Saccharomyces cerevisiae S288C: one gene and its partner. The protein of the gene in region 2 interacts with the protein of the main gene of each other region in a pairwise test. Each region holds a gene or a part of one and is shown on either strand. Other genes may lie near its edges. The genes, in order: MYO3 and UBP7.

Region 1 (6,722 bases), on a different chromosome or scaffold from region 2:
CAAAAAGTGAGAAAAAAACAGCGCGGTTTGAGATGCTGAAAATGAGTACGCCAGAATAAGAGCCGATCATCAGTGTTTTGAAAGCTTACTTTCTGTGCTATGTGATGAGGCTATTCATGTATATATATATGTTCTATTAACTAGTGGTACTTATTTGCTCTTTTTGAGCTAAAAACTGAAGGCCTCAGTTTTTCAATTTACCAAATTTGTCATGCCATTTAGTAGCGACAACATCAAATTCTTCGTCCAAGGCGCTCAGCTTACCATCTAAAATGGAGTGCCACGCAGCTGACAAGGTCTGAAATTCTTCTTCGGAGTTGACAGGAAGAATCTCCTGCAAGAAGATATTATCAGTTTCTCCGATATTCGTTCCGTCCTCATCTGCGCATTTAATGGCAAATTGAACAACTTCTAAATCTAGCAGGTTGCTGCCTATACGCAAAGACTCAATCATCCATTGAGAAAATTTCACGAAATGATTGTAGGTATCGTCAATGGCTAATATGGACTCTGCTGTTAGCGTTAGGTCCTCGTTCAAAGTTTTAGATAAAATTTCCTTTTGTAATGACTGCGTTAGATAATAGTTCAGTAAGTCAAACGTTTCAACACATTTAACAAACATTGAAGCTATTGGTAAAATTACCTTGTCAAACGAATCCGCCTCTGGGTCTAATTCGTTTTTACCTTCATTGATAAACTCTGATGCATTATAGCTTAACACACAATCGTTGTAAAATCTCAATTTCTTAACAAATTTAATCAAAGTAGTTCTCTCGAATCGTAGCGTAGCTACCCTTCGCAAATGACTGATGAACTTGTTCAGCACGTGAATATAAGATGAGAGATACCGGGAGAGTAAGGCGAGTATTTGTTCAACTAATTCACAAGTTCCAGGAGTGACTTTGATATCTTTGTCTTTGCTCATTTTTAAGTGTCTGGTATTATGCAAAAGGAAAATTAAGGAGGGTTTACTGTGCTTTCTCTTTTTTTGAGAAAAATGTCTTGAGTAAAGTGAGGATTTTACTGTCAAATCTTTAAAGCTTGTTTTGAACGATGTCCTGCATTAAAGTGGGAGTTTTTCAAAACGGGAAAATACAAACAAAAAATGAAAAAAAAAAAAAAAAAGGGACTTTAACTTTCTGCGAGAGTATGTTTAAAAGTATATGTAATGCACTTTTGGTATGTTAAGAGGCATGCACGAAGAACCATTCTATAAGAGACTAAACATCTATATATTCATGTTAATTACCAGTCATCATCATCATCGCCATCGTCATTATCATCATCGTCAGCACTTTCCGCCCGCATTTTGTTTGCTCTTGCTGCCAATGCAGAAGCTAAACCGTCGCTAAACGTCCCCACCGGATTACTCTGATTATCACTAGTGGGTCCAACTGTTGCACTTCCAAACTGTACACCTTCTTGTGCACTTGAAATGGTATTGTCGATTTGGCTTGATTTCTGATTTGTAACGTCATTCACTGCCCCTGTCGCTGCAACAGGCACCGTATTTCTTGTGTCTTTATAAGGAGTCATATAAGCAGTAGGAACCCAACCTTCTTTGCTTCCATCGAGAAGCTTTGCTAAAGACCAACCACTAGGTTCATCTCTGCTTATAAATACAATATCGCCCTTTTTTAATGGCAACTCCGAAGATGATCCGGAACCTGGAAAGTCGTATGCAGCTTCGAATTTCGGATCCTTTGGTTGGCCCATGGGGGGAGGGGGTGGTGGTATTGGTATGTTTGCAGTTGCAGTTGCAGTTGTCTCCTTTAACGGTTCTTTATTTTTTTCAACCCCTTTTGAAGGTGGCATCGATACCTGGTTTTGCTTGGCGGATGAGGATTTGTGGCTTGAGGAGGCTTTCTTTACTGCGACTTTTTCCTTCGATGAGGGTTTTGAGCTGTGTTTCGAGCTTACTTTTGCAGCAGGGATTGCAGATGACTTTATTGGTACGGTCTTATCCGGTTTAGGATTGTATGCTGCCTGTGCAGCGGTAGCTGCCAAAGATAACGGATTCACAGGTTTTTGCGAAGGGAGAGGTTGCTTTTTTGCAGCATCCCTATGACTTCTATGGCTATGTGTATGCTTATGAGTAGATTTGTGTTTACTCTTTTTGCTTTTGATAGGTTTCCCGCTCAACCCACCTGGATTCTTAGGTTTTTTATTCGATTTGGAGTTAGCAGGGTGTCCACGACGCACGTATATTGTACTTGACTTGTAGATGTCACCGTATTTCGGTGCTGAATCGCTTATCTTTGAGCGGACAGTGTGCAACTTGTTTGGTTGTTTGTGATACTCAATCGTGGGACCAACTTTTATCATTATCTTTTCATTTAATTTTTTCAAACGTGTCATTAATTCCGTCTTGAAAGGCGTGTTAATGAGTGGATCGGATTGTGTACTATTAACAAGGATAACGCCCATCCAATCGTCTTGGAGGTTTGTTAAGCTCACTTGTTTAATTTTACCGACATCAATTTTATAATCTTGTGTATATTTCATAGCATTCTGTTCCCGTGTTTGTCCAATAATATAAAATGTCTTTTTTGTTAAGATAAACACTTTTTTCAATCTTTGAGCTGATCTGCCAAATTTAGAGTGCAGGCATTCCCCCTTTATCGAAAAAACAACTTTATCCTTAATTCCTACCTGTCTTCTGATGTACGATCCTTTCGTTTTAGACTCATTGCAGGATAAGTAATCACCCATAAAAGCCCTGTATCCAAGTAAAGACATGGATCTTCTCTCTTTTTTACCCGCTAAAAGTTTGGTTCCATAATCACGAAGCTTGACGTACTTGTTTCCACCCTTTTTCTCTCTGATAGTACGCTGAATTTTTATCGCAGCATCAATACGCCTTTGAAGAAACCTTCTCCATGCTCTCTGGATTCTAGCAGCCATGTTGTACCAGTATTTATCACGCATGTCTTCTAGAGCAAATAGAGATTCTGGAGTTTTAATGAATACGCTTGTCACTCCAAGTTGAAATTCTTTTTCTGGTATCATGGCATCTCTTAAAATAAGCTTGACTGCCTCAAGGGTGTCCCCATCCCAAGTGTAATCACCAGCATATGAACAATCTGGAGATAGTAAATAAAATCTTTCGACGAATTTTTCGAAAGTTTGTCTGTAAGCGAAACCGGCTCTCCTGATACGAACATTTTCTTGCAAACCCAAATATTTTACTTGATGTAGCACTTGGTGATCATCATAATCATTTGGTGATTTAGTTTGATTAGGCTTGATTGTTCTGATATAGGAAGGCTCAGCTTTTGACAAAGTTTCCACCAGTTCATTTGCACTTTTAATAATTTTGTCACCTGCTGTTGGAGGCCGTCTCTTTGAATCTTTGTCAACATCATCAGGAAAAATTGTGGAAAGGAATGTATTTGTCGTTGTTCCAATTAATTCAATTAGGTCCTTTTGAAGTTGGTCTTTATTTTTATCGGTGATACCATTGATGTCATAGGTGACATCTCCAGCGTAATGTTTAATAACAAATTTGTTGGCCCTTAATTCGAAGTATGGATTTGAATTAAATAAGTTAAGTCGTTGAGCAAACGCCTGGTCAGCGGCATTGGAGTCTGCATGAGCAGTTGCAATAGAGTCATTCATTGCAGCAAGAATGCCCGGTGGATTTTTCGCCTCGATTAAATCACAGACAACTTTATTGTCAAAGTATTTGATGGGGGTCCATTTGATTTTTTCTCTTTCATAAGTTTCTTGCTCAGCCTTCAAAGTCAATTGGATAAAAATCTGTTGTAACTTTTCATTAACATAATTGATACATATTTGCTCAAAAGAGTTGTGTTCAAAAATTTCGAAGCCGTAAATGTCTAGAATCCCAATTGATTTATCAGCACCAGGAAATGCCTGCAAAGATACGTTAACCCTATCGACAATCCAGTCGAATAAATTATTATAAATTGCCTTAGCAAGGGCGTCTCTCACCGCAGTTGCTTGGACTGGGTTCAAAGGTACATGATAAACTGAGCCTCTCTTCATTCCATGACTGGTTTGCATGATTCTTTCCACTAAACATTTTACCAGTAACGAAGCATCAACCTGCAACAAATAAGCGACAAAATCAGTCACTGAGGTATCTCCTACCTGAGCATTGCCCTCTTCATTTTCTATAAAGGAAATGTTACCAATCCACAGAATTGCCGCCAGCATCCTAAAAATTTGGTCTTGTTCTTCCTGGACTAAACCAATGGTTCTCATAGCCTCTAACGTGCCTTCGTAATCTTTTACGTCATCAATTGTATCTGCAGTAGTACAGCCAGCCGCAGCAGTGTAAATATATTGCTCAGGCATTTGCACACCGAACATCTGTTTATATGTATCAGATGCTCCCTTAGTGAATTGGTAAAAAATATGAAAGTTTCTTTCGTTCTTAATTTGACCAACAACTCTTTGTTTCTCTAGCAAATAATTTGTGATATTACCTGCGCAAGGTTCAAATTGTGAGTTGAATTTAATTTCTAGATACTTCCCGTGCCTTGAAGAATTGTTGTTCCGCAGAGTTTTAGCACAACCGAATGACTCGAGAAGTGGATTAGTAGCAAGAACCATATCTTTGATCTTCCCAATCGATTCTGAATGGCTATTAGATGCAGCTGCAATATATTGCATAATACGTTTGGCTGCTTCTGTCTTACCGGCACCAGACTCACCAGAAATAATAACACACTGATTTTCATTGTATGATTTGAGATTGTAGTACATAGATTCCGCAATAGCAAACACGTGTGGTGGAACTTCAAGTCTATTTTTTCCTTTATATGACTCTAAAACGGCATTTGTATATATTCCCAAATCGCGGAACGGATTTACACTAATTAACACATGGCCAATATAGGTATAAATAATTCCATTCTTAAATCTTTTTTTCAAATTTTCATTGATAGATTCATCAGATATTTTTGACAAAAGTGTCAAATCAGAAATACCTACTTCTTTCTTTTTATTTGCATCAAATGTAGCCTTTTTGATTTTTGCAGATCTCTTCTTGGGCTCCTTAACGTCCTTTCTGCGTGCTCCCTTTTTTATGACAGCCATTGACGGTTATAAGTATTTCTCTTTACTTTTTTTGATTCAAATGTGATCAGCAAATTAATGTTTTATAACTGGATTGTTGTTAATTTGCTCGCGGTCAATTGAATCGAGATTGCTTTAACCCTTTATAATAGATTACTCTATATTTACTTGTCACAGCAAACGGTTTCCTTTTTCGGTAAAGCTCTTCCCGAGGTTTATTATATAAATGCAAATCGATCAGTTTACCTTTAGTTAGAAAAGCGATGGAGCTAGCATCTTGCTACTATATAATAGTTGTTCAAGATCGTAGGTCTGCCTGCCGAGTGATTAGGGGAGGCTACTGAAGTTTGTTTTAATGTACCGGTTACATTTTCTTGTACGAAAGTATATGAAGGGGGCTTATTACTTCCAAGCCTATATTTTCTGTGGCATCGATTAGTATAGTATAAAAGAGGGAGTGGACATAGCGGTGAAAACTATACAAGAATAAAAAAGGAACTAAGAACCCTTTGCATTCATATAATTTCACATATGCATTTTTTATTTTATACTCAAATGTATGTTCTCACCTAGCTTGAGAAAGCGATGATCAAAGTGAAAGGTTCAACCATTTCTCAAAGTGCTTAACACATTATTTGAAAAGAAAGGGTTTTATTCCATCCACTCTATTATATCTATAAAAAATTATTTAAATTACCCACATATTTGAAAGTCCCGAATGGGCGCTGTGGGAAAATTCAGAGCCTGCCGCGATCGGCCGTGTTGACTGGTACTTCCACGACGACAGCGACGACTTTACCTGTGTCCAGGTTATAAATTGGAGGATGCTGTAAGTTTCTCAAGACACTTTGAATGACACCTGAGTGACAAGTAAGCGAGATGAATTTTTCTTCGCTTGACAATTGATTAAATAGTTCAAATAATCCATTCAGTGTACGTTTGTCCATTTCAGCACACGTTTCTCTATGATCAGGAAGCCACAATTCATCATCTTCTGGGTAATCTGGTACATATTGCCAATGTACAGTGTGGCCCGATTCCGTGCTGAAATCCTGGTATTCGTCAACTGCCATTGAGTGAGCCACTCTTTTGTCACAAGTGTGAGAGCCCAACGTCTCCCTTAGACCTTCTATAATGCGTGTAGAAATTTTAGTTCCGGCCGGTAATTCTTGCGTCTCCGCTAACACTGGTGTCCACGACTCAATGAATGTTTCGAGACATCTTCTCATTGGAGAACTGAAAAACACATGAGGTAGCATACCTAATTGCTTTGCCATTGGTAGCAAGACATTCGATCCTGTTCTTCTAACTTGATCTTTACCCAGAGGTGTCAGTTTAGAGTCAAGCCACTCTCCATGTTCATCGCCCGAAAGCAACGACCAATAGGCGTCCCATTTCTCCATACCGTACCTCAGTATGGCAGCATTGTGGTAACCTTGACCATGCCTAGCTAAAATCAACAGCTTATAGTGGCGATTTTTGGTATTTCTAGGGATAGCATGATACAGTTCCTTCCAATTCTTATGGTTAATCAATTCTAAGTGATCATATTTCGTGGAGTCTAATCCTTGAAAACCCTCACTTGGATATGCAGCAAAATATCCTGGGACTGCTCTGAGTGACATTGTTGAATAACTGTTGGTGATTTCACGCAGCAGAGTCTTGGAAAGAAATCGTTA
Region 2 (16,887 bases):
CATAGTGAAATGTGGCTCCAAAGTATAAGCGTAAATGCGTTTGCTTATCGAACCGCAAGTAACTTGTAATTTCACCTCTATAATTTCGAGCGGTTTTTAAGATACACCATGTTTCAAGTAACCACCTTTCGCCTTTTTCCTCTGTTATCGAACTTCCATCTGTAAAAAGTTCGCTTGCAGAAGAAAAAAGGCACTACACGGAAGAGGACTGATAATTAATGAAAATCAAGCTATGATCAAACAACTACTGGCTCTAATATATGGTTTCGGCTACATAATCTAATTGTCATATCTGTTATCTCGACACTCGTCTCTCGATAAACGAGTTCTTCACTGTTGCTAGGTGCAGTGGTCGGCCATAGTTATCCATACAAAATTCCAATTTCTTACGCGCATAGCAGTCGATACATGCAAACATCTCGACTATTCTGGCGATAGCAGTACCAACAATCACCAGCACAAATTTTGTCACCTGTGCTTTGCTAGAGTTACTTCAGTACTAATTAGATTATAATATTTTGCAGCATTTATTGGTATAGAAAGAAAAGCTCGAGCACTACCAACTTTTATCTGATATACCGAAAAATGCATAAATATCTTCTCTAGTTTGTGCGTTTTCTTGTCGCCCTACCTCACAAAAGAGAAGTACTGATGGCTAATAATTGTTGGATCGATTCATTGTATCTCTTAAATGTCAACAGAGCATAAGTCAGACTCTTTGCCATTTTTAAAAAGCTGCGAAGGCGAACGTGACTACGGGGTGCGGGTTTTTGTATTGCTAATGTAGCATGACAGCTTATCCAATGTTTTGTTGTGTTCATTCAAACTATTTTGAGCCTCACTTCAATTTTGTTTGACTACTAACATGGCAGCATGCGTCGTTTCTAGGTGCTAGCCAGGCTGTGAGAACGTAAAATTAGCCTATGTTCAACATTCTCTGCTTTTCAATGTCACTGTTCATTTTGTTACTATGAAAGTAGTTCGTCGCAATTTGTACTTTTCTTCGAAAGTCTTCTTTTGCAGTAGATGAAGTGTGTTCTGAGAAATTGATGCTTTCAAATGGCCTTAAAAAATTTTTGTATCATAGCTAACAACATACTGTTGCGCCAGGGGAAGTGAAATCATGGTTGTATATTACAATAGCATTATGTGCATTTACCAAGTATGGAAAAGCGGAAAGTGTGAAAGAAGTTTATGAAAAAAGCGGAAAATAAAAAAAAAAAGTTTATTTTCCTGTGACTTCTGGGAAGCAGTTAGACCTCCTTCGCTGTATTCTTAGGTGCTATACCTCATTTCCACGATGGTAATAGACGATCAGTCTATTAATGCGCTAAAGAACGTAGAAAAGTTATTAACTGAAGAAGCTTTGCTAATGCCGTCGCACATTAAACGGCTAGACATTGCCTTGAATAGGAAGCCGAATAATCTACGAAATATCATGGAGCTTCAGGGCCTTGCATATACTATAGTAAAAAAAAAACTAAGTTTTCCCCTGTAGTAAACAGGGAGATACCGTACGGAGGTCTGAATTCCCTACAGAAGTAGCTGTAAAAATTCAGAATTCGCAACAACCTATAATTGAGTTAAGTGCCTTTCCAAGCTAAAAAGTTTGAGGTTATAGGGGCTTAGCATCCACACGTCACAATCTCGGGTATCGAGTATAGTATGTAGAATTACGGCAGGAGGTTTCCCAATGAACAAAGGACAGGGGCACGGTGAGCTGTCGAAGGTATCCATTTTATCATGTTTCGTTTGTACAAGCACGACATACTAAGACATTTACCGTATGGGAGTTGTTGTCCTAGCGTAGTTCTCGCTCCCCCAGCAAAGCTCAAAAAAGTACGTCATTTAGAATAGTTTGTGAGCAAATTACCAGTCGGTATGCTACGTTAGAAAGGCCCACAGTATTCTTCTACCAAAGGCGTGCCTTTGTTGAACTCGATCCATTATGAGGGCTTCCATTATTCCCCGCATTTTTATTACTCTGAACAGGAATAAAAAGAAAAAACCCAGTTTAGGAAATTATCCGGGGGCGAAGAAATACGCGTAGCGTTAATCGACCCCACGTCCAGGGTTTTTCCATGGAGGTTTCTGGAAAAACTGACGAGGAATGTGATTATAAATCCCTTTATGTGATGTCTAAGACTTTTAAGGTACGCCCGATGTTTGCCTATTACCATCATAGAGACGTTTCTTTTCGAGGAATGCTTAAACGACTTTGTTTGACAAAAATGTTGCCTAAGGGCTCTATAGTAAACCATTTGGAAGAAAGATTTGACGACTTTTTTTTTTTGGATTTCGATCCTATAATCCTTCCTCCTGAAAAGAAACATATAAATAGATATGTATTATTCTTCAAAACATTCTCTTGTTCTTGTGCTTTTTTTTTACCATATATCTTACTTTTTTTTTTCTCTCAGAGAAACAAGCAAAACAAAAAGCTTTTCTTTTCACTAACGTATATGATGCTTTTGCAAGCTTTCCTTTTCCTTTTGGCTGGTTTTGCAGCCAAAATATCTGCATCAATGACAAACGAAACTAGCGATAGACCTTTGGTCCACTTCACACCCAACAAGGGCTGGATGAATGACCCAAATGGGTTGTGGTACGATGAAAAAGATGCCAAATGGCATCTGTACTTTCAATACAACCCAAATGACACCGTATGGGGTACGCCATTGTTTTGGGGCCATGCTACTTCCGATGATTTGACTAATTGGGAAGATCAACCCATTGCTATCGCTCCCAAGCGTAACGATTCAGGTGCTTTCTCTGGCTCCATGGTGGTTGATTACAACAACACGAGTGGGTTTTTCAATGATACTATTGATCCAAGACAAAGATGCGTTGCGATTTGGACTTATAACACTCCTGAAAGTGAAGAGCAATACATTAGCTATTCTCTTGATGGTGGTTACACTTTTACTGAATACCAAAAGAACCCTGTTTTAGCTGCCAACTCCACTCAATTCAGAGATCCAAAGGTGTTCTGGTATGAACCTTCTCAAAAATGGATTATGACGGCTGCCAAATCACAAGACTACAAAATTGAAATTTACTCCTCTGATGACTTGAAGTCCTGGAAGCTAGAATCTGCATTTGCCAATGAAGGTTTCTTAGGCTACCAATACGAATGTCCAGGTTTGATTGAAGTCCCAACTGAGCAAGATCCTTCCAAATCTTATTGGGTCATGTTTATTTCTATCAACCCAGGTGCACCTGCTGGCGGTTCCTTCAACCAATATTTTGTTGGATCCTTCAATGGTACTCATTTTGAAGCGTTTGACAATCAATCTAGAGTGGTAGATTTTGGTAAGGACTACTATGCCTTGCAAACTTTCTTCAACACTGACCCAACCTACGGTTCAGCATTAGGTATTGCCTGGGCTTCAAACTGGGAGTACAGTGCCTTTGTCCCAACTAACCCATGGAGATCATCCATGTCTTTGGTCCGCAAGTTTTCTTTGAACACTGAATATCAAGCTAATCCAGAGACTGAATTGATCAATTTGAAAGCCGAACCAATATTGAACATTAGTAATGCTGGTCCCTGGTCTCGTTTTGCTACTAACACAACTCTAACTAAGGCCAATTCTTACAATGTCGATTTGAGCAACTCGACTGGTACCCTAGAGTTTGAGTTGGTTTACGCTGTTAACACCACACAAACCATATCCAAATCCGTCTTTGCCGACTTATCACTTTGGTTCAAGGGTTTAGAAGATCCTGAAGAATATTTGAGAATGGGTTTTGAAGTCAGTGCTTCTTCCTTCTTTTTGGACCGTGGTAACTCTAAGGTCAAGTTTGTCAAGGAGAACCCATATTTCACAAACAGAATGTCTGTCAACAACCAACCATTCAAGTCTGAGAACGACCTAAGTTACTATAAAGTGTACGGCCTACTGGATCAAAACATCTTGGAATTGTACTTCAACGATGGAGATGTGGTTTCTACAAATACCTACTTCATGACCACCGGTAACGCTCTAGGATCTGTGAACATGACCACTGGTGTCGATAATTTGTTCTACATTGACAAGTTCCAAGTAAGGGAAGTAAAATAGAGGTTATAAAACTTATTGTCTTTTTTATTTTTTTCAAAAGCCATTCTAAAGGGCTTTAGCTAACGAGTGACGAATGTAAAACTTTATGATTTCAAAGAATACCTCCAAACCATTGAAAATGTATTTTTATTTTTATTTTCTCCCGACCCCAGTTACCTGGAATTTGTTCTTTATGTACTTTATATAAGTATAATTCTCTTAAAAATTTTTACTACTTTGCAATAGACATCATTTTTTCACGTAATAAACCCACAATCGTAATGTAGTTGCCTTACACTACTAGGATGGACCTTTTTGCCTTTATCTGTTTTGTTACTGACACAATGAAACCGGGTAAAGTATTAGTTATGTGAAAATTTAAAAGCATTAAGTAGAAGTATACCATATTGTAAAAAAAAAAAGCGTTGTCTTCTACGTAAAAGTGTTCTCAAAAAGAAGTAGTGAGGGAAATGGATACCAAGCTATCTGTAACAGGAGCTAAAAAATCTCAGGGAAAAGCTTCTGGTTTGGGAAACGAAGGAACTCCAATCGGGAATGAGGAGAGCACAAATAAAGCTAAAAATGGAAATAAAAAGCGGAATAAAAATCGAAACAGAAATAAGAAGACAGAGACAAAGGAACAAAATGAACCTAAACCTGTGACTGGAGGGGAAGAAGTGAGAGTCGAGAAATCTCAAGCGAAAAACAGAAGGCGGAAAAACAATAATGGAGCTAATAAAAAGAATACCCTACACTACTCAAAGGAAATTAATGTAGAAGAGCGAAAACAAATCGCAAAAAGGCAAGAAGAAATCGAACAATGCATTCACACCTTATCCGATTTTAAACTGTTTAAAAAGGGTAAGCACGTTACCTCATATGGCTATCGAATCTCCCCCATGACAGACTCCGGTAAGATTTCTTTGAAAATTTTATTCAACATACCTTTGGATTATCCAAAGGCCCCAATAAAACTAACGATGAAAAGTAATGAAGAAGTTTCCTCTTACATGGACACCGTGATAGCGAATTTCAACTGGAAAGCCCGTCAATTGGTTAAGGAGGACTGGAGGATATTATCTCAAATAAACTATTTGGTTAGTGAGTTAGAAATATTGAAAATGGAAAATTATAAACAAATTGATAAACTACGTAATAGCTTTTACAAAACCATATAAATATGAGCATAATAAAAAGGGAGAATATTAACTATTATCAAGTATTAAAACTATTCTTTAATAAAGATGGCGGCGGCACCCATACCAGTACCGATACACATACTAACAACCCCGATTTGATCCTTTTTCAGTTCTCTTAGTATGGTAGCTACTTGCCTTGCGCCAGTACAACCCAAGGGATGGCCTAACGCGATTGCACCACCTCTTGGATTTACTTTATTCAAATCGATGCCCAGTTTATGGATGCAGTATAATGCTTGGGCCGCGAATGCTTCATTTATTTCAAAAATATCGATATCTTGGACTTGCAAGCCAGTAGCTTCCAGGACTTTTGGTATGGCGTATGCAGGGCCCACACCCATGATTTCAGGGGGAACCCCCACTGTTTGAAAATCGATGTAGCGACCTAGCACAGGCAGATTTAACTGGTTGGCTACGGACCTGCGGGCTAACAAGACACCTGCCACACCATCGGAGACCTGGGATGCATTGCCCGCAGTTGTGGTTCCTCTGTCTTTGATAAAGGCAGGCCTGATGCTTGAAAGCGACTCCGCAGTGACGTTAGGGCGTGGCCCTTCGTCCGACTGGCAAATTGAGCCATCTGGTAATTTTATAGGTAAAATTTCATCTTCGAAAAGCCCCTCATTTTTCGCCTTGTAAGCTTTTTGATATGAATTCGCAGCGAACTCGTCTTGATCCTTTCTACTGATCTTGAAATTAGCGGCAACATTCTCATTAGTAATGCCCATTGGTATTAGACATTTCTTCGCTTCTCGGTTTTTTTGCAGCTCTTCAGAGGAGATCATGCCCAAGGGATTGACGTTTTTGTAGTTATTGGTCATTGATTCCACTCCCAGCGCCAAACCAATATCAATTTGCCCAACCTTAATCTTGTTGGCAATATCGTTCACCGCCGTTAAACCTGAAGAACATTGTCTGTTTAAAGCGACAAATGGCGTCGAGTAGGGAATCCCACTTGCCAAGCATGCAGCCCTGTGTTCTGTAGCACCGGCTCCAACATTGAGAACATTTCCACAGGCAACTTCTTCGATTAAGTTCAAATCAGCCCTCAAAGGTTCCGGAAACCTCCCGATGAACTCATTGAGAAAGTTGTATAATAAGTAGTCTGTGTTTACATCTTTGAAGGCACCTTTAAAACCTTTACCGATGGCAGACCTGTTAGCAGCCACAATAACTACATCTTCGGGTCTTTTCTCCAGCAACGAGTTCTTCCTCTTCGATTCACCCTTACCCATGGCGCTCTCCACCAAATGATCCTTGATACTTTGTAGTCTTTGAGACATTGCTTTTATGTAGTGTTATATTCACTCTGTACTCAGAGCCACAAGAAATAACCATTCGATTTCAATAGAACTGAGATGCAAAAGTATACCCTATTTATATCTCTTCTTTCTAGTAAAACTCCAATAAATTTGAAACCAATAGAGGGAGAAAGGAAAAAAAAGCTGCGGTGTTAATACTATTATCCCCGTTTCCCTTTGATAGCGCCTTACACGGCGCTACCACATCATTACCCTCCTCATGTTGACGCGTCAAGTTTTTTTTCTTTTTTCGCTATTTGTGGCATAGGTTCAAAACTAGCAAATTCTTGATCTTTTGAAGATTACATAGTGATGATGATCGTGACACAAAAGCAGATAAAAAAATAGCACAATCATCAGCGATGGACTCTTCCCCGAACAAGAAGACGTACCGCTACCCTCGCAGATCGCTGTCACTTCACGCGCGTGATAGGGTCAGCGAAGCCCGTAAATTGGAAGAATTGAATTTGAACGATGGGCTGGTTGCCGCTGGCTTGCAGTTGGTCGGTGTAGCGTTAGAGAAACAAGGTACAGGATCACATATATACATGAAACAGAAGAATTTCTCAGCTAATGACGTTTCTTCGTCACCAATGGTTTCCGAAGAAGTGAACGGATCGGAAATGGATTTTAATCCGAAGTGCATGCCTCAGGACGCATCACTCGTCGAAAGAATGTTTGATGAGCTTTTAAAAGATGGAACTTTTTTTTGGGGGGCTGCTTATAAGAATTTACAAAACATCTCTCTACGAAGGAAATGGTTATTGATATGTAAAATCCGTAGTTCCAATCATTGGGGGAAAAAGAAAGTGACTTCGAGCACGACATACTCTACACATTTGGCCACTAATGAACTAGCTGAAAACGCACACTTTTTGGATGGCCTAGTTAGAAACCTTTCAACAGGTGGCATGAAGTTATCGAAGGCTCTATATAAACTAGAAAAATTCCTGCGAAAGCAAAGCTTTTTGCAACTTTTTCTCAAGGATGAAATTTACTTGACGACATTGATCGAAAAGACTTTGCCACTCATATCCAAGGAATTACAATTTGTTTATCTTCGGTGCTTTAAAATACTGATGAACAACCCACTGGCGAGAATAAGAGCACTACATTCTGAGCCTTTAATTCGCTGGTTCACCGAGCTTCTGACGGATCAAAATTCTAATTTGAAATGTCAGTTACTTTCTATGGAGTTACTTTTATTATTAACGTATGTTGAGGGTTCCACGGGTTGTGAGTTGATATGGGACCAGCTTTCCATATTATTCACCGATTGGCTAGAATGGTTTGACAAAATCCTTGCGGATGATATTGCAATTCATTCATCCCTTTATTTGAACTGGAACCAATTAAAAATAGACTATTCGACAACTTTCCTACTGCTAATAAACTCCATACTGCAAGGTTTCAACAACAAGACTGCACTAGAAATTTTGAATTTTTTGAAAAAGAATAATATACATAACACTATCACATTTTTAGAACTGGCCTATAAAGATGATCCTAATAGTGTCGTGATCATGGAACAAATAAAACAATTCAAATCCAAAGAATCTGCGATATTTGACTCGATGATAAAAACTACCAACGATACGAATTCGCTTCACCCAACAAAAGATATCGCAAGAATAGAAAGCGAGCCTCTATGTCTTGAAAATTGCCTGTTATTGAAGGCAAAAGATAGTCCCGTAGAGGCACCAATAAACGAGATTATTCAATCGCTGTGGAAAATCTTAGACTCTCAAAAACCATACTCAGAATCTATTAAACTATTAAAATTGATAAATTCTTTGCTGTTTTATCTCATAGATTCCTTTCAAGTGTCAACGAATCCTTCTTTTGATGAAACCTTGGAGTCCGCAGAAAATGTGGATTATGTTTTTCAAGATTCTGTTAATAAATTGTTGGATTCTCTACAATCTGATGAAATTGCTAGAAGAGCGGTCACAGAAATTGATGATCTTAATGCTAAGATTTCTCATTTGAATGAAAAATTAAATTTAGTAGAAAATCATGATAAAGATCATTTAATAGCAAAACTAGATGAAAGTGAATCTTTGATATCTCTGAAAACCAAGGAAATTGAAAATCTGAAACTGCAGTTGAAGGCAACCAAGAAAAGACTAGACCAAATTACCACGCATCAAAGGTTATATGACCAGCCACCTTCATTGGCAAGTAGCAACTTGAGTATTGCCGGCTCGATAATAAAAAATAATAGTCATGGAAATATCATTTTCCAAAATTTAGCAAAAAAGCAACAGCAGCAGCAAAAAATTTCTCTGCCCAAGCGTTCAACTAGTCTACTAAAAAGTAAAAGAGTTACGTCCCTTTCATCATATTTAACTGATGCAAATAACGAAAATGAGTCCCAAAATGAATCCGAAGATAAATCAAAAGACTCATTATTTCAAAGATCTACGTCAACCATTAATTTTAATATCCCTTCTATGAAAAATATTACTAATATGCAAAATGTCTCTCTAAATTCGATACTTTCAGAGTTGGAATTTTCAAATAGCCTAGGAACACAACCTAATTACCAATCGTCTCCCGTGTTGTCTTCGGTTTCTTCTTCACCAAAACTTTTCCCTCGACTTTCCTCAGATAGTCTTGATAATGGAATCCAACTAGTACCTGAAGTTGTTAAACTACCTCAACTTCCACCGCCCCCTCCTCCACCTCCCCCTCCTCCACTTCCACAGTCTCTTTTGACTGAAGCAGAAGCTAAACCGGATGGTGTTTCCTGTATTGCAGCACCTGCACCGCCACCCCTTCCAGATCTATTTAAAACTAAAACTTGTGGCGCCGTTCCACCACCACCACCGCCACCGCCTTTACCCGAGTCCTTGTCGATGAACAAAGGCCCCTCCAATCACGATTTAGTTACTCCTCCAGCTCCACCTTTACCAAATGGTCTTCTTTCTTCCTCCTCAGTGTCTATCAATCCAACGACAACCGATTTAAAACCACCTCCAACTGAAAAGCGATTGAAGCAAATCCACTGGGATAAGGTGGAGGATATCAAAGACACACTTTGGGAAGACACGTTTCAACGCCAAGAAACAATCAAAGAATTACAAACTGATGGTATATTCTCTCAGATTGAAGATATTTTTAAGATGAAAAGTCCGACTAAGATTGCAAATAAAAGGAACGCAGAATCCTCAATTGCCTTGTCTTCAAACAATGGCAAGTCTTCCAATGAGCTGAAGAAAATTTCATTCTTATCAAGAGATTTGGCTCAGCAATTTGGTATTAATTTACACATGTTTTCCCAATTATCTGATATGGAATTTGTTATGAAAGTATTGAACTGTGATAACGACATTGTCCAAAATGTTAACATACTGAAATTTTTTTGTAAAGAAGAGTTAGTAAATATACCAAAAAGTATGCTTAATAAGTACGAGCCATATTCACAGGGTAAGGATGGTAAAGCAGTAAGTGACTTACAAAGAGCTGACAGAATATTTTTGGAGTTGTGTATCAATTTAAGATTTTATTGGAATGCAAGATCAAAGAGTCTGCTGACATTGTCAACATACGAGAGAGATTATTACGATTTGATTTTCAAGTTACAAAAAATTGATGATGCAATTTCACACTTAAATCGTTCACCTAAATTTAAAAGTTTGATGTTTATTATCACGGAAATAGGCAATCATATGAATAAAAGAATTGTTAAGGGTATCAAATTGAAGTCATTGACTAAACTTGCCTTTGTCAGATCCAGTATTGATCAAAATGTATCATTTTTGCATTTTATTGAAAAAGTCATAAGAATAAAATATCCTGATATATACGGTTTTGTGGATGATTTGAAGAACATTGAAGATTTAGGTAAAATCTCACTAGAACACGTTGAATCAGAGTGTCATGAATTTCATAAAAAAATTGAGGATTTAGTTACTCAGTTTCAAGTAGGAAAGCTATCCAAAGAGGAGAACTTAGACCCCAGAGATCAAATTATTAAAAAGGTCAAGTTTAAGATTAATCGGGCCAAAACAAAAAGTGAATTATTGATTGGTCAATGTAAATTAACTTTAATAGATTTGAATAAACTGATGAAATATTACGGTGAAGATCCCAAAGATAAAGAGAGTAAAAACGAATTTTTCCAACCCTTTATTGAATTTTTAGCCATGTTTAAGAAATGTGCCAAGGAAAACATTGAAAAGGAGGAAATGGAAAGAGTGTACGAACAAAGGAAGAGCTTGTTAGATATGAGGACAAGCAGTAATAAGAAAAGCAATGGAAGTGATGAAAACGATGGTGAAAAAGTAAACAGGGATGCTGTTGATCTACTCATATCTAAATTACGCGAAGTAAAGAAGGATCCAGAACCTCTAAGAAGAAGAAAGAGTACAAAACTCAATGAAATAGCCATTAACGTACATGAAGGAGATGTAAAAACGAGAAAGGATGAAGATCACGTTTTACTAGAGAGAACGCATGCTATGCTGAACGATATTCAAAATATATAGTGAAGACTTAGTATTTTATGTAGTTGTGGAGCTTATATAAAGAAATGGACAATATTCGCAATCGCTTCTCAAAAGGGAAATATTTTCCCTTTTCGGGCGGTGGTCGTGTTGACAAATTTCCTAGTTAAGAACTAAGATTTGGAGATGGACAGATTCATTAATAAATTTCAAAATAAGCACAGAAAGCATCGAATTTTTAGCTCAAAACAATCTACTTTTCAATCATCAAAACAGACTATTGAATAAAGATGGGCAATGTGTCTGTGGCAGTGGGAACGGCAGTTGGGATTCCAATTGCTGTGGGCGTAATAATAGCCCTGATATTTTGGTGTAAATTACAACGACGTTACAAAAAAGAAGAGATTAGAGATGCTGATTTGGAGAAGATGGTAATGGAAGAAGTGGCAGTGTCGGTATATGATGGTTTTAAAGCCGAAATTAACAGCTCAAGTGAAGCTTCCACGATAAACGAAAAGGAAGCAAACCAGGATCTTAAACCCTGCCAAGAAAAAACCGCCAAGGCAGGGTACACACCAGCATACAGAAGGCAATTGAACGCTAGTATGGGGACTTTGCGTCCAAAAAAGCAGAGCACTGCATATACCAATGTCCCCGTCATTTTCAGCGGCGAAAAGGTGAATTATGGGATGGTCAGAGATCCTTCCTATAGTTTTATGTATCCACTGACGCTATCGCGCAAAGAAACGAGTAGTTTGAGATCAGCTTCTACGTCAAACTTGTCATCGAGCACAGAAAATACTGCGTTACACGAAGAAATAAAACTGGATGACCCATATGAAAACGATTTTACGAATTATACTGTCAACAAGAGAGAATTTATTGACAGCTTACGGCCACACTAATATATATGCATATAGATATATAAACGTACCTACATAGTTTTGCATTTGTATAGATACCCAGACCACTTGTAATAACGATAAAAATAAAATAATAATAAAGGATATTTACAGACAAATAGCACCATACTTGCTATTAAATTGGTGTCTTGGTATTTTCAGCTAGCAAATCGATCTTTTGGCCAGCGGCAGTGACGCTCCATTCATGAATCAAAAACTCTTCGTCGTGAGTGTTCCTATCGGCAACCAGTCTAACGGTTCCAGTAACGTTTTTGTCCCCCTTGATATAAAACGTAATGTTAATCCTACCCTTCACAGAGTTCAGTTCACCGTAGACCCAAGGGATGATACCATCAAATTCTATGCTCTCACCCAGTATGTTTTTAGTTGCTGGAGACCGTCTTATATAATACAGCGTGTTGGAGATAATGGGGGACTCCGTCTTTTCATAGTTGAAGATCAAAGATAGTGCGGACCCAATGGCCACAGAAAACAACAAAAATCCAGCTATTCGCTTTCTCCTCTCCGTGGTTGGGTCAGGCAATTCTCTGTCAATTCTCAATGGCCTGTTCTTGTCTTTCAAAACGATCTTGGCCTCATCTTCAGCGACACTATTATTGAATCTAGCGCTGGTAGAGAATGAGTGCAGCAAGGAACCACGCACTAGCACAGCCTTAGCTGCAGAAGGTGTCACTTTCGGCAACCCTTTAGTTACTAGTCTTAACATCATGTATAGTCTGTTTTATCTTTTACTTTTATGTCGTGGACTGGTACGGAGAGAAAGATCGAACTGTTTTAAAACTGGGATTAAAATGACAAGAAGGCGCTTTCTTTCTCTCCACAATGATCAAAACAAGAACAAGCAAAACGCAAAGAGATGACATTAGTAAGTACCCAAATGAGCTACTAACAACGCATCCGGTAATACTAACAAGAGAAATTGGTTAGGTAGGGAAACTAGTACACATATCCATAGATTTGGTCTTGGTATCAACGTGCCTCGCGGGGATTAAACGCAATACAGGTTTGACGCCTAAACTGGAGACTCTGGACAATCAGACTATGAGAAACTACATGAAGCGGTACTTGAACTTGGGAGAGTCTGTATACGACTATTCTGTTGCCACTTGTGGCTCCTCGACGTATTTCGCTAGGAAATAGGTACGTTTATATTCTATATATGTTGATAATATTTTGTATAACGGCACCCAGCCGGGGGCCAAAATTAATAACCGCAACTTAAAGAGCTATCGCTATCGATTACGCATAGAACTTTAAATGCTAGACGATGATAAGGGCACGGCCATGCATCCACATATAACGCCGTTCACGCCTGAGTACTCAAATGAATTACTGCGAAGGGTCCAGGACCTGTACCACGAAGATATCAAGCACTACTATCCGCAGCTAAAACTGGAGAAGCTGCTGGACCTTCTGGAGCATACAGAGTACCTATTCGAGTTATATCTAGATTCAATCCATCACGATAGGCCCAACGATGCACTGACAGCGTTTATCATTGGATGCTACTACGTGTTCTTAATTATTCCACAATCTTTGCAGTTCCAAACACGAAACAAGTCCTACAGCATCTATACAGATCTAAAAAAGATGTATGAGAATGAAATGAACATGACCAATGTTGTGCTTATGGTGAAGAAAGAAATCGGTGTGGTCCTAGATGAATCGGTTAAACACGGGGCCGGTATTGAGCACAGAATCACCAAGAAGAGGGCATTTTCAGTTCCAGCTGACGATCTTTCAGGTCAGGTAGCTTCACTATCACTTGACACCGCGGCACCGCAAGATCATGGCCTCAAAGGCACGTTTACTGAAGACGACGCAGAACAATCTTCACCTGTTTGGACAGCACCAAACTTAGAGCCCAACGACCAATTGAAACTGGCTTTATTGCCCGAAGTGATACCAACGCCAGCTTTTCGTGAGCCTGAAAGAAAGACAAGTGTTCCAGTGAGACCATCTGTTTTATTGGAAGATGTACCCTCCATATACCACGAGGATGACACTAGTTTCGCATCTTTGAACCCACCATTTCGAGAAATAACCGCAGATAGATCAGTAACTCATCGAAAGGATTCTTACCATTCTGTTTATATGGTGGATAGCGGCAACCTCAAGGAAGACAATGATGATCTGTTCAACGTTGAGAATGATGGCTTCATCCAGAGTTTGGATATTTTACAAAAGCAGAGTATAATCACAGCACCAGAATTGTTTAGTATTTTATCGAATCGCGTTGAACGTGAAAAGGTTTTACTCATCGACTTGAGAATACCACAAAGATCTGCAATAAATCACATTGTGGCTCCGAACTTAGTGAATGTGGATCCAAACTTGTTGTGGGACAAGCAGACGAACACACCTATCTACAAGGATGACATATTGGAACATTTACTGAAGGAGAATGAGAATTTTATAAACCGTAATAAATTTGATTACATTGTTTACTATACTGATGTGAAGACCTTCATGACTATAAATTTTGATTATGCATTTATTTTTTTTTATTTGATGCTGACTTCTCAGAAGACTCCTTTAACAACTGTACCTACTACCCTCTTAGGTGGGTACGAAAAATGGAAGAAAACTCTGCATTCGTATGCCCAGGAGTATCATATCTCTATTGAAGATTACTTGTACAGACCTTACTCACAGAAGGCGCGCTTACAACAGGAGCAGCAGCAGCAGCAGCAGCAGCCGGATTCTCAGGACTCTTTTTCCGCTAAGGAATCATCTACAAAAGTTCCTGAGCCTCCCTCCTGGAAGCCCCCTGACCTGCCTATAAGGTTAAGGAAACGTCCTCCACCTCCACCGCCTGTATCAATGCCCACAACCCCAGAAATTCCACCTCCTCTGCCCCCTAAGATAATGGTTCATTCACAAGTCAGTTCTATCTCTCGAAAGCCGCCAATACCAGCAAAGCAGCATGTCAAAAAGGAACAACTTAACTCCAATGAAATTATTCAAAGAAAAAGACAGCACCAGCATCAGCATTACGACCAACAAATATTACAACCGCAAAGGGCGTACAATATTCCAACTATTGAACGCAGTCCAAACGTATACGTTTCGTTGTCCATCACGGGACTAAGAAATTTGGGCAATACATGTTACATTAATAGTATGATACAATGTCTATTCGCTGCGAAAACATTCCGGACACTCTTCATTTCATCCAAATATAAGAGCTATCTGCAACCAATAAGGAGCAACGGATCTCATTATTCTCCTAAACTTTCGAATTCACTAAGTATGCTCTTCAACAAGATGTATCTAAATGGTGGTTGCTCAGTTGTCCCAACAGGATTTCTCAAAGTTATCAATCAATTGCGTCCCGATTTGAAAATTCCTGATGACCAACAGGATACCCAAGAGTTCCTAATGATACTTTTAGACAGGTTACACGATGAACTTTCCGACCAACAGCATGTAGCGAACGATTATCCGAATTTATTATTGTATAATGCAGATGCCCTAAAGGTTTCAAACAACGAATATAAGCACTGGTTTGACAAAAATGTCATTGGTAATGGTATATCTCCTATTGATGACATTTTTCAAGGGCAAATGGAGAACAGCTTACAATGTAAAAGGTGCGGTTACACTACTTTCAACTATAGCACATTTTATGTTTTATCACTGGCTATACCAAGACGTTCCATGAAGTTGAGTAAACTTGGTAGGTCTACTGAGAAAAGAGTTAAGTTAGAGGATTGTATTAATATGTTTACAAGCGATGAGGTACTCTCTGGTGAAAATGCATGGGATTGCCCACGCTGTGGCCCCACGGCGTCTGTGTCTACATCTGTGTCTGCATTAGAGAATGAGCCATCCATTGTTAAGAGTAAAAAGAAAAAAAGTCGGTTTTTTACATTACATACAGGAACCAAGCGTCGTCATCTCGACTTTTTTGGAGACGGTATTACTGAGGGCCATAATAGCAATAATAATAATACGACAATCTTTGAACGAGAAAGGTCCAGATCACCCTTCAGGATGTTGGGTGGTAGTGGGAAGAGGTCCAGTTCCAGTACACCGTTCAGTACTGGTGGTAATGATAGTAACAACTCGAGTGATTACAAGAACAAAAAATTGACAACAGTGAAAACGATAAATTTTGTAACTTTACCAAAAATCTTAGTCATCCATTTATCGAGATTTTATTACGATTTGACCAAGAAAAATAACACCGTCGTAACATATCCATTGATACTAAACATTATATTGAAAAACAATGACACTATGAAATATAAGCTATTTGGAGTGGTTAACCATACAGGCACATTAATCAGTGGCCATTACACGTCACTGGTGAATAAAGACCTTGAACACAATGTGAATATTGGGCGTTCTAAATGGTACTATTTCGACGATGAGGTTGTCAAGGCAGATAGGAAACATGGATCTGATAAAAACTTGAAAATTTCAAGTAGCGATGTCTACGTATTGTTTTATGAAAGGGTTTATGACTAGCAAAATTTTGCATTTTTTTTTTTGCACCATAAATATGTATTGCGTATGCACCAGGACGTTGAAGAATATTATTTAGTGTTTCTATATTTTATGATAAAACTAGAGATAAAGGGGATAATTAAAACGATATTAAAACGGAAGTCTACACAATGATTATATAGATTATATTATGTATTGGAAATAGAATATAAACACTAGGAAGGTCATAATTTGAAGATCAATTGTAGTAGTAGAGTCTATTACCTCTTTTTTTTTTTTTCTTCATATATTTTTGTAGTTTTTTTAGTTTACTTTAACTCTTCCATTAAGGAAAATAGGTAATAATAGCGATTTCATTGCCATTACCACCATTATTATTATTGTTATTACTATCATTATTATTATTATCATCATTACCATTATTATTACTCTTGTGAATGTTATCTTTGTCACCCTTAACTATCATGATCGATTTAGACACCAAACGTCTTGATGAAGTTCACAGTTTTTTCAAGTTCCCA

The links.
Region 1: the proteins of UBP7 (region 2) and MYO3 interact in binary tests that used the Saccharomyces cerevisiae proteins (3 or more experiments, as listed by UniProt).

The regions. Positions count from the first base shown.
Region 1 is NC_001143.9:195,104-201,825, forward strand, and holds MYO3 (myosin 3), read right to left. Parts: upstream 5,065-6,722; coding exon 1,246-5,064; downstream 1-1,245. Other genes in the region: SHE2 (She2p), read right to left, coding at 185-925; PMU1 (putative phosphomutase), read right to left, coding at 5,781-6,668. UniProt on the Saccharomyces cerevisiae protein: One of two redundant type-I myosins implicated in the organization of the actin cytoskeleton. Required for proper actin cytoskeleton polarization and for the internalization step in endocytosis.
Region 2 is NC_001141.2:34,920-51,806, forward strand, and holds UBP7 (ubiquitin-specific protease UBP7), read left to right. Parts: upstream 1-13,171; coding exon 13,172-16,387; downstream 16,388-16,887. Other genes in the region: YIL163C (uncharacterized protein), read right to left, coding at 1,980-2,333; beta-fructofuranosidase SUC2, read left to right, coding at 2,466-4,064; SMU2 (Smu2p), read left to right, coding at 4,514-5,221; POT1 (acetyl-CoA C-acyltransferase), read right to left, coding at 5,272-6,525; formin BNR1, read left to right, coding at 6,906-11,033; AIM20 (Aim20p), read left to right, coding at 11,282-11,896; COA1 (Coa1p), read right to left, coding at 12,030-12,623; ATG44 (mitofissin), read left to right, coding at 12,771-12,779, 12,842-13,054; GUT2 (glycerol-3-phosphate dehydrogenase), read right to left, coding at 16,840-16,887. UniProt on the Saccharomyces cerevisiae protein: Involved in the sorting of ubiquitinated cargo proteins at the multivesicular body (MVB).